2 linked regions of the Struthio camelus genome follow. The protein of the gene in region 2 interacts with the protein of the main gene of each other region in a biochemical or structural test. Links are inferred from orthologs where the notes say so. Each region holds a gene or a part of one and is shown on either strand. Other genes may lie near its edges.

Evidence for each region.
Region 1: the proteins of PKD1 (region 2) and HDAC9 form a complex in vitro, tested with the Homo sapiens proteins (2 studies listed by BioGRID, with this or other methods). The link is inferred for Struthio camelus from reciprocal best matches to the Homo sapiens genes PKD1 and HDAC9.

What each region holds. Positions count from the first base shown.
Region 1 is NC_090943.1:34,970,531-34,977,972, forward strand, and holds the start of HDAC9 (histone deacetylase 9), read left to right. Parts: upstream 1-4,358; 5' UTR 4,359-4,423; coding exon 4,424-4,529; intron 4,530-7,442. UniProt on the Homo sapiens protein: Responsible for the deacetylation of lysine residues on the N-terminal part of the core histones (H2A, H2B, H3 and H4).
Region 2 is NC_090956.1:1,860,161-1,867,425, forward strand, and holds the start of PKD1 (polycystin-1), read left to right. Parts: upstream 1-4,178; 5' UTR 4,179-4,221; coding exon 4,222-4,487; intron 4,488-7,265. UniProt on the Homo sapiens protein: Component of a heteromeric calcium-permeable ion channel formed by PKD1 and PKD2 that is activated by interaction between PKD1 and a Wnt family member, such as WNT3A and WNT9B. Both PKD1 and PKD2 are required for channel activity.

The DNA.
Region 1 (7,442 bases), on a different chromosome or scaffold from region 2:
CTGAAGTAAGGTTGTATGGGACACCTGTAAGCCTGGGATATCCTAACTTGAGCATACGACTAGAAGCTAAATAACCTCTTTAATTTAATTTTGAATGTAATTTTTGTATGATGCAAAAATCTACAAAAATGAAGCAGTAGGGCAGAAGAATCTACCTAAGAATTAATTTACAAGTAAGAAAACTGCAAAAGTTGGAACTACAATGAAGTTTCTACTTCAGAATAATGAATGAGATACACTCAAAAACAAACAGTAATGTATTGTTTGTGCTTAACAAGGAAAGCAGAAACAGAAAAGTACTACTTAATTATAATGTTGCTAAGTTAATAATGCAGTAGAAATCTTAGCTCTTTTTAATTTTTGAGTGCTTAATTTCTTAATGTTGCATTAATGCTGTTTCCTAGTTTAATTTCCTTATATTTATTTGGTTTAGCAATTCAGAAGCAAAATGAGAGAAATATATTGTGAAATGCACTGTAATGATATCATAATGCTACTAAAACGCCTTGCATTTTCCATAAAGTTGCTGATTGCATTTAGAGTCACCTCAGCAGTGCTAAATCATTTTAACAGTTTACTCTTATCTCTAGTGTCATTAAAGTTCTCTAAGTTTAGGAAATGTTTTGGAAAAACTGGAACAAAAAACTCAAGTTCCTGTATGAAAATGGCGCCTTATAACATGCATAACTTTAAAAATAAAAAACAGATTTTCTTCAGGCATGAACCCTTTATCCTTCCGCTATGGGACTGTAAAGAAGCTATATAAAATCATGTGATCGTACAGTTACCGACTGGGCTGACTCAGCAAAGTGTTTAACTATGTATTTAAATTCCGTTGAAATCAATAGAATTTAACATGTGCCTAAATATGATGTTGAAAAGGGATGGATTTGCACAAGTGCTTTAAAGTTAAGCCTGTAGCTTTTCTGAAGTAGGCCCATTATACGTTGGAGTGAGTGGGAAGAATTCAGATTGTAAAAGCCCTACCTTTGGGGTGACTGACTTAATGAGTAAAATGTTTTAATAATAATTTTTATATATAATCTGAAATATAAAACACAATGCAGTAGTCATTATAGTCTGTGAATTAGCTAACATAGCGTATATTCTATATCTGTCATTTTAAAATATGTATGCCAAAATTAAGAATGCTTAAAGCTAAATATCTTTCTGCTCTTGAAAACAGTTTGCTTTTTTTTCAGTCACTGAGCTATCTGAAGTTAGATCTGTGAATGCTCCCTATCATAAAAAAAAAAGGCAGCTACATTTATAAGAACATACAAACGCATGTGGATGCCTAATACTGGGATCCCACACTTCAAAATTTTCTGTGTTATGGACTCTTTTTAAAACTTATTCCTGAAGTGTTTCCCTGTAATACGAGACTGATTATTTTGAGGCACTGAATCACTAAACAGGATTATATTCTGCTTGACTCAATAAGCAATGCCACTTTTTTTAAAAATGCATTTCTGTCTTCGTTAGAGAAGCTCTCTATTCTTACTGGTGGTCCCCCTTGTACTCTTGTCAAACATCTCCCCTGGTGCCATACATTTCCCACAAAAAATTGGATATATTTATTCTCAAGAGATAAAAGAGCCTTTACTTTCTCACTCCTTTCCACGTAAGCTGTTCTCCTCTTAGCATGGTTACAAACCGAAGCGCTCCGGCATCGGATCCTGGTGGTCTAAGCAGGTCTCCCAGAGGCAGTGCTGGCATCCTTGCAAATGAGATATAGAAAGTAGCCCTTTAGGGAACAAACTGCAATGGTTTGATCAACTCGATTACTGAGTAGTCTGAAGCTAAGCTAACTCTGTAGCACTATCCATGAGAATATTATGAGTATTACTTTCAATATTGATGATAACAAAAATTGTCAGCTGTAAACATTACCGTGATACGTGTGATACTAGTCCTGTGCTGTAACACCCTACATGTCGCTGTGCTGCCACTGCCTTTGGCCTTGCCCCGTCCGGAGCTGGGTTTGTACTGTCTGCAGAGCTTTAATTCTTCCACAGGCGAAGTACCTCTTTCCCCTCTACCTCTTTATAAATGGGGCAGAGGAAAGCAGAGTTACTATGTGTATGTGGTAAATTGATGAGGGTGGCGGTGGTGGGGGGGGGGGGGGGGGGAAGGCAGGGAGAGGAGGGTGTTGAGCGGTGATAGGTACTGATTGGGGGATCCTATTGGGAAAATCCTATTGTCAGCTGCTGCAGTCTCCATCTGTCCAAAGGGACAGACTGTAACTCTCAGCAAGATTAGATGATGTGGCATGTGGAGGAAGAAATGGTTTAGGAAGAAGGGAGGAGACTTGAGCCACAGACCTCTAAATGGCATAGATTATCCAGAGGTCAAAGGAATACAACAGAACTTTGGTATTGTGAATCTTCCTTGGTATCAGTTGTGAGAAATTTAAAAAAAAAAAAAAAAAAAAGAAGCCCTTCACCACAACCTAACGTGTTAGAACAACAGACAGTTCAGGTCTTGGCCAAAAGGCAAAACCGAGCTTCAGATAACTGTCTGGCATTCTTGCATCTTCAAGAATAAGAAATGCTTGCGATAGTCCAGAGATTTGCTGGGTCTTCTAGAAACCCTTGAGAAAACCTCTGCATTGGCTTTTTTATTTTAGTGAGTAATCACTTCCCTGATGTCATTGCCACTATGCTAAAGTAGGAACATGGAGGGGCACTCAGCACTTTGGAAGGTGCCTGGCCACCATGCGGTAGTCATATAGTTAGGAAACGAGAGGATTTGGTCACCTGTGCAGCAAACACTTTATAGCACAGCGGGACCAGAGAGGTATTTAAAGTATCGTTTGTAACAGTGAAATGAAACTTGCCTTATCTAGGTGTAGCTCTATTAATCAGCAAACAAAATATACAACTTCTGAAACAGCGTTATGAAAAACAAAGCTTGCTATAGCATGCCTGAAGCCTTGCCAAGACCCAGGGGAGTGTGGTGCTGTAGTCTGACATGCAGGCAAATGCTACGATTCTGAAACCACATCGCCTCGTAAAACTGAGAAAGACGCAGTGCAAATTGCTTGGTGCTTCTAAATATAAGTGTGAGCTGCTCAGCCCCCTCCAAATTTTAATAAGTCAACAGAAAAGTGCATAGTATGTAAGCATGTATCATTTGCTGTGCCACAACTGGTAAGTTACTATGAGAATTGTATTGAGCATGCCAAAAATGGAAATGCTGCTCATAAATGAAGGTATGAAACCAGCTCCCCCATTAACATGTCCCTCCACCTTCAGCTTCCCCTGGCAGCACCCCCCCACCCCCCCACCCCGGCAGTTTCAGAAATCGCCTCTTCTGGGCTGACTGCAGGTCCTGTATCGAAAAGGCAGCAGCGAGACTCTACTGCTAAAGCCAACTGCAGCGTAGCCAGAGAAACGGGCAACAAAAATAGCACACCAGGATTGCTGTGCGTGGGTGAGGCAGAAACCACATTATGAGCAAAAGCTTCCAGTATTATTTCAGAACCAATACAGAGGCCTTTGCGTTTTGCTCGCTCTTCACAAAATCCCCCGGGGGGAGGGGAGGGCTGGGGGCCAGGAGAGCCCGTCAGCAGCGAAAGGCGGTGAGGGCGGCCGGCAGGGCCTCGCTCCTCGGCGCGGATGTGGAGGTGGAGGTGGAGGTGGACGGGGGCCCTGGCCCGCTCTCCCCACGCCCGCCCGCGCAGAAGCAGGGCTGCTGGAGCGGGCAAGGGTTAACTGCGCTCGAGGGCGAGCGGTGGAGGATCGCAGTCTGAAAGACAGAGACTGGACAGCTGTGTTTGCTGTGGTATTTTTAAATGCATTAATGCAGGCTCCAATCACCCGGCCATGCTTGACCTATTTTTGGCTCAGGCCAGCCATTGTTCTATTTCTGCCGCCTCTGGGCCACAGTGGTGTTGATTCATATGCAAATGCGGTGGCAGGAGCCGCGGCCAGCTCCGCCGAGCCCGGAGCCCGGCCGGCAGCGCGGCGGGCAGAGCGGCACTTGGCCGGCCGAACCCTAAGGGGCTCTTAGTCCCTGGAAACGGTGCTGATTTAGTTTCGTTTTTTTAAGAGGCTCTATCCTCCCCCCCCTCCCCCCCCCCCCCCCCCGGGCCAAGAAAGCCTGAAGCACAAAAATATTTCTTCATTTCTTCTTCCACCTGCTGTTGGCTTCCAGAGCACAACTGTTCAAACTCAGGGGTGCAGAGCCCACTGGGTACTTCCTATTCTTTTGCAGCAGACTGGGGCTGTGTGAAGTGGATCTTGCTTTTTTTCTTTCCTAGTAGCTATTTGTACAGATGCTTAAACATTGCTAATTACTGAAGTGTTTTATCTTGCAACCCTCGCTGGAGGAGGTAGGAGGACAGAGGGTCGCGCCTGACACCCCTGTGCAAGTGCAGTGATGAATCTTTCATGTAGCTGAAGTACAGCCTGGTTGGAATATGCTGCAGACAATTTACGAGAGTGAATCGTGTTTTTCCTCAGATGGGGTTTCTGGACGGGAGCAGCTCTTGGCTCAGCAAAGAATGCACAGTATGATCAGCTCAGGTAAGAGACAGCCCAGTTCCTCAGACTTCTCTGCCTCTGTGGCGGCTTTCTCAGAAAATGCAACCTGCTACAACTGAACGGAAAAAAAAAAAAAACCAAGCCCCTCCTTTAAAGAGCTGAGTTTATTTTTGTGGGCTTTTTATAAGTTGTTGTTAAGTACCATGTCTCTACCATGTTGTTTTAGATATCAGCTGCTGCTTTTGTTTGGGGTGGGGGGGGTCTGTCTTCTTTAGTCTACTGCTTTCTAGCAAGAGCAGAAAGCTATCAGCTGAAATATAGTTTGCAATTCCTGTCTTGTTTTATTTGTTTTGTTCTCTGATTGCAAAATGGGGCTTTGGTAGAGGCTTATTCACAGAGAGAGGCTTCATCAGACCAGACCTTTTTGGTAGGCTGCACTTAGAGCCCATCACAGGCAGCTCTGTTCATATGTAATTTTGTAAACAGGATTTGGTCTTTTTTGTGAGTTTCCTTTTCTCAAGTTTACATACAAAGGGATTTTTTTTTACATTAATCCTTTCCTGTTTTCCTAATGGTGTTGCTTTAAAAAATGCTAAAGCAAGTCTGTGTCTTTAATATGCATGGTTTATTTTGTTACTTTAAAAATATTTGGGAACTTGGCAGCGGTACTCAGATGTAATGACTCACTGAAATGTAAATTGGATGTATTTTTAATGAAGGTATTTCAAAGCTGCTCTGATAAAACATTGGATGTTACTTCATGTATTTGAAGCCCTCTTATATTTTCTGCTTTCTTTGTTAGCTGGATGTGAGACCTGCACAGGATGTACTGAGGATGAATAAAGCCCTAAGAACTGTAGCCATTCAGTTAAAATGTCAATTTAGACAGACTAAAAAAGTCTAAATTTCGGATTACCTTTGCCCTTTCTCTCTTAAACTCTGGCAGCTCCAGTTCTTTTTTTATTGGGCTGAACCTCTGCCTTTTGAGGCACAACGTTAGTCGCTTTATATGTTTTTCAATCCTACGTTTCTGACTTTGTTTTTCATATAATTGGTTTAAGGAGGATATGTACCTAAAATACAGTGTGAATAGTATACTTTAGTCTTAGTCTGCTCCCTCCTTTTTTTTAAAAAAAAAAAAGTTGGCAGCGCTTCCCACTTGTTCAGCATGATTATGTTGGTGGACCACAGATCTGTTTGAGTATTCCCTCTTTTGGTACACCTGTTGAGCCCGTGGTTGGTTGTTTGGTCGGTTGGTTGTTGTTGCTTTTTTTTAAAAAAAAGGTTCTATTTCTTTTCCTGCTGTATAGAAAAACAACTTAAAGCTGTACTTATATTTATTTTTTATTGCATATAACTGTAGAGCAGAATTATGGTTTCAGATATTAAAATAGATTGTTGTGAGAGATTGTGTCAAATAGCAACACCTTTCATGCAGGTTCAAATAATGAGAATCCCTAAGGGAAGGAAGAGTTCCAACTGGTAATGTTTAAGATTGGCAGTTTTTCCCCTTCCTTAAAAAGCTGCTGGGTTGGTTTGTTTCTTTTCATTTGAGGCTTTAGGGGTTTGTTTTTATTTTGGTCCTCTCAGATGATCTACCATTTCTTTATCTTTTTAGAGTAGGTTTTGATCACCAATTACAATTCCCATCTAAAAGACAGACATCAGGTGAAAGACTTATTTACAAACGTGAACAACTAAGCTGTAGCTAAGATAATGGATAAAAGCAGAAAGTTTTCTGAAAAAGTTGCCTTATAGTTCTGCAAAATCGTCTATAATGTTGACCTGTTGTTCAAGAAGTACTGCTTTGCTTTGTTTTTCCTGAACAGGTCAGCAGGTGCCCAGTGCTTTTGTATTGGTCGGAGAGATGGCACTGACTGCTTTTCTCCCCTCCCCTATTTTTGTTAATAATCCATCAGGTTGGACTTAGCTCTACATAAGTGAAAATCTGCTTTGTTAGCTCGCTATGCTACCTTGTAACCCACTAACTAATGTTCCTTGAGTAATAGCAATTTTCTTAATTGAAACACAAGAGAAGGAGAGAATTTTCTGTAAGTTTATAGCACTGCTGTTCTTCACTGGAGACAAAGATGCCATGCAGCATTTGGTTTTTATCTGATATTACATTAGGCCCAAATACCATTATGTAGTGCAAAGTAGAATAGAGTTTTTTGTTTTTTTTTTTAAATGGAGAGTCAAGATTGTTATCCAGGTAAGAGAAGTTTAAATATATATGCTTTGTAGAATGCAAAATAGCCTTCAATGTTTCTTTTGGCCTTTGAAATATACAACTAGATTGCAAGAAGTTGACACTATACTTAATCTGCAATTTAATTCATAGCACATGAAACCACAAAGTCTGGTGCTGCTGTCAGTTACCTTCCGCTCTCTTGAGCTCAGGGTCTTGCAGGATCAGGCCTGATAATTTTGTGTGTATTGTCTCCTTCTGTGCTGCATATAGGGGAGAAAGGAATTTCCCAGGGTATGATGATGTGCTCTGGTGTTAGGAGCAGCTAAAATCAGTCATTTGAATTTTGCTAACTGCAATATCTTTACTTTAAAGTTACCTTCATTCACATACATGTAGCTTTTGCTCAGATTTTGCACCTATTTAAGAAGAGAAGAGGTCCCTGAACATTTACAGCTTGCAGCCTTGATATTTCTGAAGTCCTGAATGAGCAGAACATAAGCACTCACTTAATGGATTTTTAAGTTTGCTAGTTTCCGGATGCGATGGGCGTGTATTCTTCACCTCTAATTTTAAGTGGGCCAGAGTCAGCCCCAAAGAAGACAGATTCAGTGGCCAGTGGATGCATATTTGCAAAGCAAACGGTCTGAGGAATTTCTGACAATAGCAGGCAGAGGAAATACTCCTGTCATGTGAGGCAGTTCTTCTGGTATTCCCTCAATTACTACTTTGCCTGTCTGTCTCCATCCCTGCTTGTAAATCATACT
Region 2 (7,265 bases):
CCGGCTGCCCACGCTGCGCTCGAGAGATTTGCTGCACCGAACTTAAGCATTATGGAGAAATGTTTTTAAACGTGTGACCGGCAGCACGAATTAATGGAAGATGCAAGAAGTTCTCGTTCTTATTTATCGAAAACCCGCTGAAAGTTACGCCCGGATCAACAAATTTCCCAAGGAGCAAGTGTCTTCGGTCGGCACGTCAGTCGTCAGACCCTACTGAGCTCAACAGCGCTTGTCGCTGGAGGATGTGCAGGATTTGTCCCCAGGGCTCGAAGGCCAGGACAGAGGGAGCTCCTCTGGACAGAAACTAATCACTCCTCTACGGTGTCTCTTCGAACGGCTTCGCTGGAAGCTCTCCCCCCCGGAAAGGATTTGGCCAGCTGAGGGAAAGTAATGCTGAGTTCCCGAGTGCCAGAGAAAGTTCCCCAGGGCGCCACGTAGACACGTGTCTCCTGCCGTTCCCAATCTCGAGGAGGCCTCGGTCGCAGGAGCTGCGCAAGCCCCTTCGGGCGTTTGCTGGGAACGGCCGCGCGTTTCCTTCCCCGCGGCGACAAGGCACCAGGACGTGGTCACCCCGCGCCCGAAGCAGGGCTTGAGCGCAGTTCCCGTGGGTTTGCTGGGGACAGACAGCGCCGCGTTGCTCCTCACGCACACGCACGGCCGCGGCCCCCACCGCCGGGCGTTTGCAGCTCTGCCAGCGCAGCCGGCGTGAAGGGGGAGTTTGCACCCAGGTGCAGAGAGCAGCCGCTGGCCTGTGCTCCAAACCCACCTCGCAGCAGCGCCGATTATGCAGTATTTGGAATGTGATTCTTCTTTCCTGGCTCTCCGTAAGACGCATTTATCCTCCTCGCTTTACTTCTCCCTCAGAACGGCTTTACTGCCGCGGTGCATCTTCGGCTGGATCCAGGCCTTCCTGTGTAGCAGAGGTGCAGAGCTAAGAGCAAGTCTCTGGGGAAAGGATGGATTGGAGCCAGATCTAAAGGCAACACCTTGGGTCTATGCCCCGCAGGTTTCCCGTCCCAGGCCACTCGCTCCGGGTGAGGGTTGTGCCCAGGGCAGACGTCCACCGCTTCTCCCCAAGTCTCCTCTGACCTTCCCTCGCTCAGACTCCAGCAGCTTGCGCTCTGGGGCCGCGTTTTAACCTCCCTCCCGGCCTGCGACACACATACACATTCGCTGTGTCTGCGGTGAAATCCGTGCTGGCCTGGCCAGGACCCAAGGCCTCTAGTTTCCGCAGTAAGTGATCTGGCACTGAACAAGACGAACGCTTCCAAAAGCAAGAATTTCTTCTACGTTTTATTTGGGCTTCCTTGTGTTCTCCCCTCGGCTGACGGCCGGGGCCATGTTCTGTGTGCACCATTGCACAGTGACATGGCGAAAAAGGCACATATTAAATGCTAACAGATCAAGTCCCCCATAAAGTTATCAACTCCCACACTTCCTCTTCCGTGGCTTCCGAGCGGGGCCGGCTTTGGTTTTGGAGAGCGATGTCCTTTACAAGGACTGCAGAATTCTGTCTCCTTTGCTCATACGGAGACTTGATTTAGTAATATTCTTTGCTCACTTTAAGCTAGAACCAGTTGAGATCACCGAAGAGCCGTGAGGTCGCTGAGGCTCATCAGACACCGGCGGGCCTGGGCTCGGCGCGAAGGTCAGGCCCTTCCCCAGGGCCCTGTTTCTCTGCAGACCGCAAGTGGCCTGTGAACCCGACGACTGCGCTGCGGTTAACACTAAAAAACCAGCACTGAACAGCACCTGCCTTGTTTTTTGCCAGTTTTCAAGCTCTGTCCGTACCTGAGTTGGTTACCGCGCTGCAGAGCTGTAACACACACCACAGCCGGCAACTGTTATTGCATTCAACAGCTTTCGGCTGGTAGCGGCCTCGAGAGCGGGCCTCAGCCCCAGGAGCTCAGGGCCAAACGCCCTCCTGGCCCCGGAGGGTGCCGGGCAGCGCCCATGCTCCCCTGCCCCCTCACGGATGGGCCCCGCCAGCCGCCTTCGGAGGAGGGAAGGGTCCCCCATTTATTTCTGAGACAGCCGAAGCCTCTGCCCAGCAGAGCTCCTGCCCCAAGAAAAGAGCGGAGAGGGCTGGATGCGGGGAAGCTGTTCACCTCCCGGCTTTGGCCAAGGGAGGTCTTGTCGCAGGAGCTGCGGAGCCGGGAGCCGCGGACCCTTGCGTCCCTGCCGGCTCGCTGGGACGGTCCCCTGCCCCTCCTGCCTGGTCTCCGGGATGCCCCCTCTCCCCTGAATGCCCCCCAGCCCCAGGATGCTCCTCACTCCTGGGATGCCTCCGGTCCCTGGGATGCCACTTGTTCACTGGGGTGCCCCATCCTTGGGATGCCCCTTCCCCCTCGGGATGCCCCCCGTCCCCTGGATGCCCCATGTTCCCTCGGGATGCCCCGTTTCTCAGGATGTCTCCCATCCCCAGGATGTCCTCTGGGATGCCTCCTGTCCCCTAGGATGTCCTCTGTCCTCCCGGGATACTCCTGTCCCCTGGGATGCCTCCCACCAGCCCCTGGGACGCTCCCTGTCCCTGCAATGCCCCTTGTTCCCCGGGATGTCCCTTCTTCCCTGGGATGCCCTGTCTCCTGGGATGTCCTGTTTCCTGGGATGCCCCCCGTCCCTGTTCCCGGAATTCCTCCTGTCTCCAGGAGTCCCCCATCTCCTGCGATGCCCCTCTCCCCCCTGGCTGCCTCTTGTTCCCCCGGGATGCCCCCCATCCCTGGAATTCCCTCTGTCTCCTGGGATGTCCCCTCTCCCCTGGCATGCCTGCCTCCCCCTCCTCCCCGATGCCCCTTGTTCCCCCGGGATGCCCCTTGTTCCCTGGGATCTCCCTCTCCCCTGAGATGCCCCTCTCCCCCAGGATGCCCCTTGTTCCCCGGGATGCCCTTTGTTCCCTGGGATCTCCCTCTCCCCTGAGATGCCCCTCTCCCCCAAGATGCCCCTTGTTCCCCAGGATCTCCCCTCTCTCCCGGAATGCCCCTTGTTCCCCAGGATCTCCCCTCTCTCCCGGAATGCCCCTTGTTCCCCGAGATGCCTCTCTACCCCAGGATGCCCCTTGTTCCCTGGGACGCCCCTCTCCCCCGAGATGCCCCTTCTCCCCCAGGATATCCCTTGTTCCTTGAGATGCCCCCTCTCCCCCGGGATGCCCCTTGTTCCCCCGGGATGCCCCTTGTTCCCTGGGATCTCCCTCTCCCCCGAGATGCCCCTCTCCCCCAGGATGCCCCTTGTTCCCTGAGATGCCCTTTGTTCCCTGGGATCTCCCTCTCCCCTGAGATGCCCCTCTCCCCCAGGATGCCCCTTGTTCCCTGAGATGCCCTTTGTTCCCTGGGATCTCCCTCTCCCCTGAGATGCCCCTTCTCCCCCAAGATGCCCCTTGTTCCCCAGGATCTCCCCTCTCTCCCGGAATGCCCCTTGTTCCCCGAGATGCCTCTCTACCCCAGGATGCCCCTTGTTCCCCGGGATGCCCCTTGTTCCCCGGGATGCCCCTCTCCCCCGAGATGCCCCCTCTCTCCCCCGGGATGCCCTTTGTTCCCTGGGATGCCCCTCTCCCCCGAGATGCCCCCTCTCCCCCAGGATGCCCCTTGTTCCCTGAGATGCCCCCTCTCCCCCGGGATGCCCTTTGTTCCCCGAGATGCCTCTCTCCCCCGGGATGCCCCCTCTCTCCCCCGGGATGCCCCTTGTTCCCCGGGACCCCCCTTCTCCCCCGGGACGCCCCTCTCCCCCGGGACGCCCCTCTCCCCCGCCCGCCCCCGGCTCTCTGCCCGAGCAGCCAGCTGCTGCTGCGCGCCCCGTCGGGGCCCTGCCGGCTGGCGGCGGCCGGGGCCGAGCGCGGCGGGGGCGGGGGCGCCGCGGGGGCGGGCGGGCGGGCGGCGGGGCTGGAGCGGCGCCGGGTTTCCGCCGGGAGGGGCGGAGCGGCGGGCCGCGGCCCGGGCGGAGCGCAGCGCAGCGCAGCGCCGAGCCGAACCGAGCCGGGCCGGGCTGGGCCGAGCCGAGCCGGGGCTGACAGCGCGGGGCAGCGGCGGGGGAGCCCAGCGGGCCGGGCCGGGCCGGGCGCCGCCGCGGGAGCAGCGCGCAGCGCCAGCGCAGCGGGGAGGCCGCGATGCGCGGCGGGCGCTGAGCGCGGGCCGCCGGGCGCCGAGGAGCGGCGGAGCGGAGCGGGGCGCGGCCGGGCCGGGCCGGGGGAGCGGCGGCGCCGGGGCCATGCCATGCCCGTAGGGAGAGATGCCTTTTGGAAATGGACACACTGGATCACAGCGCAAACATGGCGTCCCCGCGGCGCGGCTGCCCCTCTCGGGCTGGTGCCTGCTCTGCTCCCTGCTGTGCGGGGGGCTGGCGGCCGCCAGGACCCCCCCGGCCGCCGCCTGCCAGCCCTGCGCCGCCGGCTGTACCTGCGCCGCCGCCCGCGCCGGCGGCTCCTGCCTCGTCAACTGCTCTGCCCGCGGGCTGGAGCGCCCGGGCGCCGACGTCCCGCCGGCCGCCACGGCTCTGTGAGTACCGCGGGGCGCGGGGGGAGGCAGCGCCGCGGCCGCGGGTTCGAGCCCGGGGCGCGGTGGGGAGGCAGCGCCGCGGCCGCCGGTTCGAGCCCGGGGCGCGGGGGGAAGCGCCGCGGCCGCGGGTTCGAGCCCGGGACGCGTTGGGGGGGAAGCGCCGCGGCCGCCGGTTCGAGCCCGGGGCGCGGGGGGAAGCGCCGCGGCCGCGGGTTCGAGCCCAGGCGAGCTGCGAGTGCGGAGGGGCAGCAGTGCTCCCTCTTCGTTCAACTTCCCGGAGGTTAAATTTTTCCTGAGTGGGATTGGCGCGTTTATAAAACTCGCTGTGATTTAACACCGCGATGGAGACCGGACGCCTGACAGTAGGGACAAACATGGAGACATCTGAGAAAGTTTGCTGCACGGACGCCACGGGGTTAGACATGTGCAGAAGTGGCCTAAGCCAAGCGAAAGGGAAAACAGCTTCAGTATGTGAAAAATGCGGCCCCAGTCTGGCAGCCCAGCCCTGGTTCAGCAGCCTCAGCTGGAGCGGGACTAACGCTCCCTCTGTGCGACGTCGCTGATGACGGCGCGAATCACGGCCACGGGGCCGCTGGGACGCGTGCCGCTCCTCACCTGGAGAGAGCATTTTTGTGGTGCCCAGCAGCAGGACAAGAGGCAATGGGCAGAAACTGAACCACAGGCAGTTCCATCTGAACCTGAGAAAAAACTTCTTCACTGTGAGGGTGACAGAGCACTGGAACAGGTTGCTCAGAGAGGTGGTGGAGTCTCCTTCGCTGGAGATATTCAAAACCCGTCTGGATGTGATCCTGGGCAATGTGCTCTAGGTGACCCTGCTTGAGCAGGGAGGTTGGACTAGATGATCTCCAGGGGTCCCTGCCAACCTAAGCCATTCTGTGATTCTGTGATCCAGCCCGAACGGGGTGGTCTTGTCGCACCCAGCCAGTCCGGCTCAGATCTTGCCAAAACGCGGCAACTTGTGGGGCATATAAGTCCGTGAGGTCAGAAACATCTCATCAGTTACGTTGAGCAAACGTTAAGACGTTCCCTGCAGGTACGTTAGAGAAGGCTAGGAGGCTGGCCGCACGGAGGTATCGTGCTGGCGGCTTCGTTTCTGAGACACCGAGGAGAATTGTGTCAAGAAATGATCAGTTGGATGCGATTTAAACACTATTAATGACAAATAATTTTTTTAAAAACCCAACAAGTTCAAATCAGATTTTCTTGATGAAAGTAGTAAAAGGAGATGAGAGTTATGCTCGTGTCTAGCTGTTGAACCCTCTTGGTTTGGTAAAATCGGTCAGAAAGGTATGTTTCTTGGGAGAGTACAGGAATAGTCCATATGCTCAGTCACTTACAGTTACTGCTTGACGTGAAAAGCAGACTTAGAGCAGAAGTGTTTGGTTTGTTTTTAGAACCTAAATGTGTGCTCTTTAGGGAGTAACTTTTCCGTTCTTGAAGAGACAAAAGCAGCTAGTGATTCATGTTAAAGAGGTGACGTGGGGCCTGGCGCGATAGAAAAATCTCACATTAACTAACTTCTGCTGGTGTTTTAATAAGCTAAAGGCAGACGCCTTTCTACTCCTATAATCTTACATAAGTTTCCACTTTTAAGGGACAGTATAGATTAAAAAATATTGCAGAAGTTTCAAAACACCACAGTAAATTGTAGATCTGCAAGATGTATCTAGATTAACTTCAGGAAAAAACGTACTTCTCTAAATCCGGAAGATGAGGAGTTTTCCAAATATTTTCTTACAAAACAGACTTTTCCAAACAAACTAGCCACTGCTTTTTGCAGAATTTCCCAACCTGGGAAATACTGATTTTTATTTAATGGTTTCTGACGTTACATTAGACATTAGATCTATGGCTCTGGAAATTGAACGTGCCACTGGGACAGAGGTAGAAGATCCGAGTGCTTTCCTGGTCTCTTGTGCAAAAGCCTGCAGAAGACTGTGACGATAAGTAGTTCATTTGGCTTTTTAAGGATCCATGTTATGACAGTACGTTTCTAGGATTACTAATTTTGGAAGTAAGTGTTTGAGACTGTTTATATTATTGTTGTTTAGAGGCGTTGAGTTGTGAAAGCTCCCAACACATTTTGGATTATGTCCTATTATGCAATGACAAATTCAAGTTAGACATAAAGCTCTTGCAGGTCAACAAAACAAAGCACCCAGAATGTGAGAAGAGGGCATCTGTTAAAGCAAATCTATTGAAACTGCAGGATAGTATTACTGATGGGTTTTTTTTCTGATTTCAGTGGAGAATTAGTTGTTTACAACACTGTTAAGAGCAATGCTTTAAGAGGAACAATTTTGCTCTATTGAAAAATGATTGTCTTTGGAATTCAGACTTTAGTGAATTGTAAAATCACCTTTGTCCGCCAACAAATCATCTTGTGTGTATAGACTCAGCTGAAAAAGTTTGAGCTGGTAATATTCCGATTATTGGTACAAGATGTGTTGAAACGGTCTGCTGTGGCACATGGATTTCCCTTGGGAATAAGTTTGCTCCTCTATTTGACCTCCTAAGGACGAGACGTGAGCTTACATTGTTATTATAACCACTAAAGATTTATAGATGAATTTCTGTAGGGATGAGAGAGACTCCAGCTCGTGACACAGTGAAGTTATGCAAGTAGTTTTATCTAATCATTTCATGTGCCCATTGTTGAACAAAGACAGATAAAGTAAATAATATTTTTTAATAATTTGCTCTCTGTTGTCTTGAGGAGAATGTATTTTATCTCTCTAAAACCTTTTATTTTTTTAT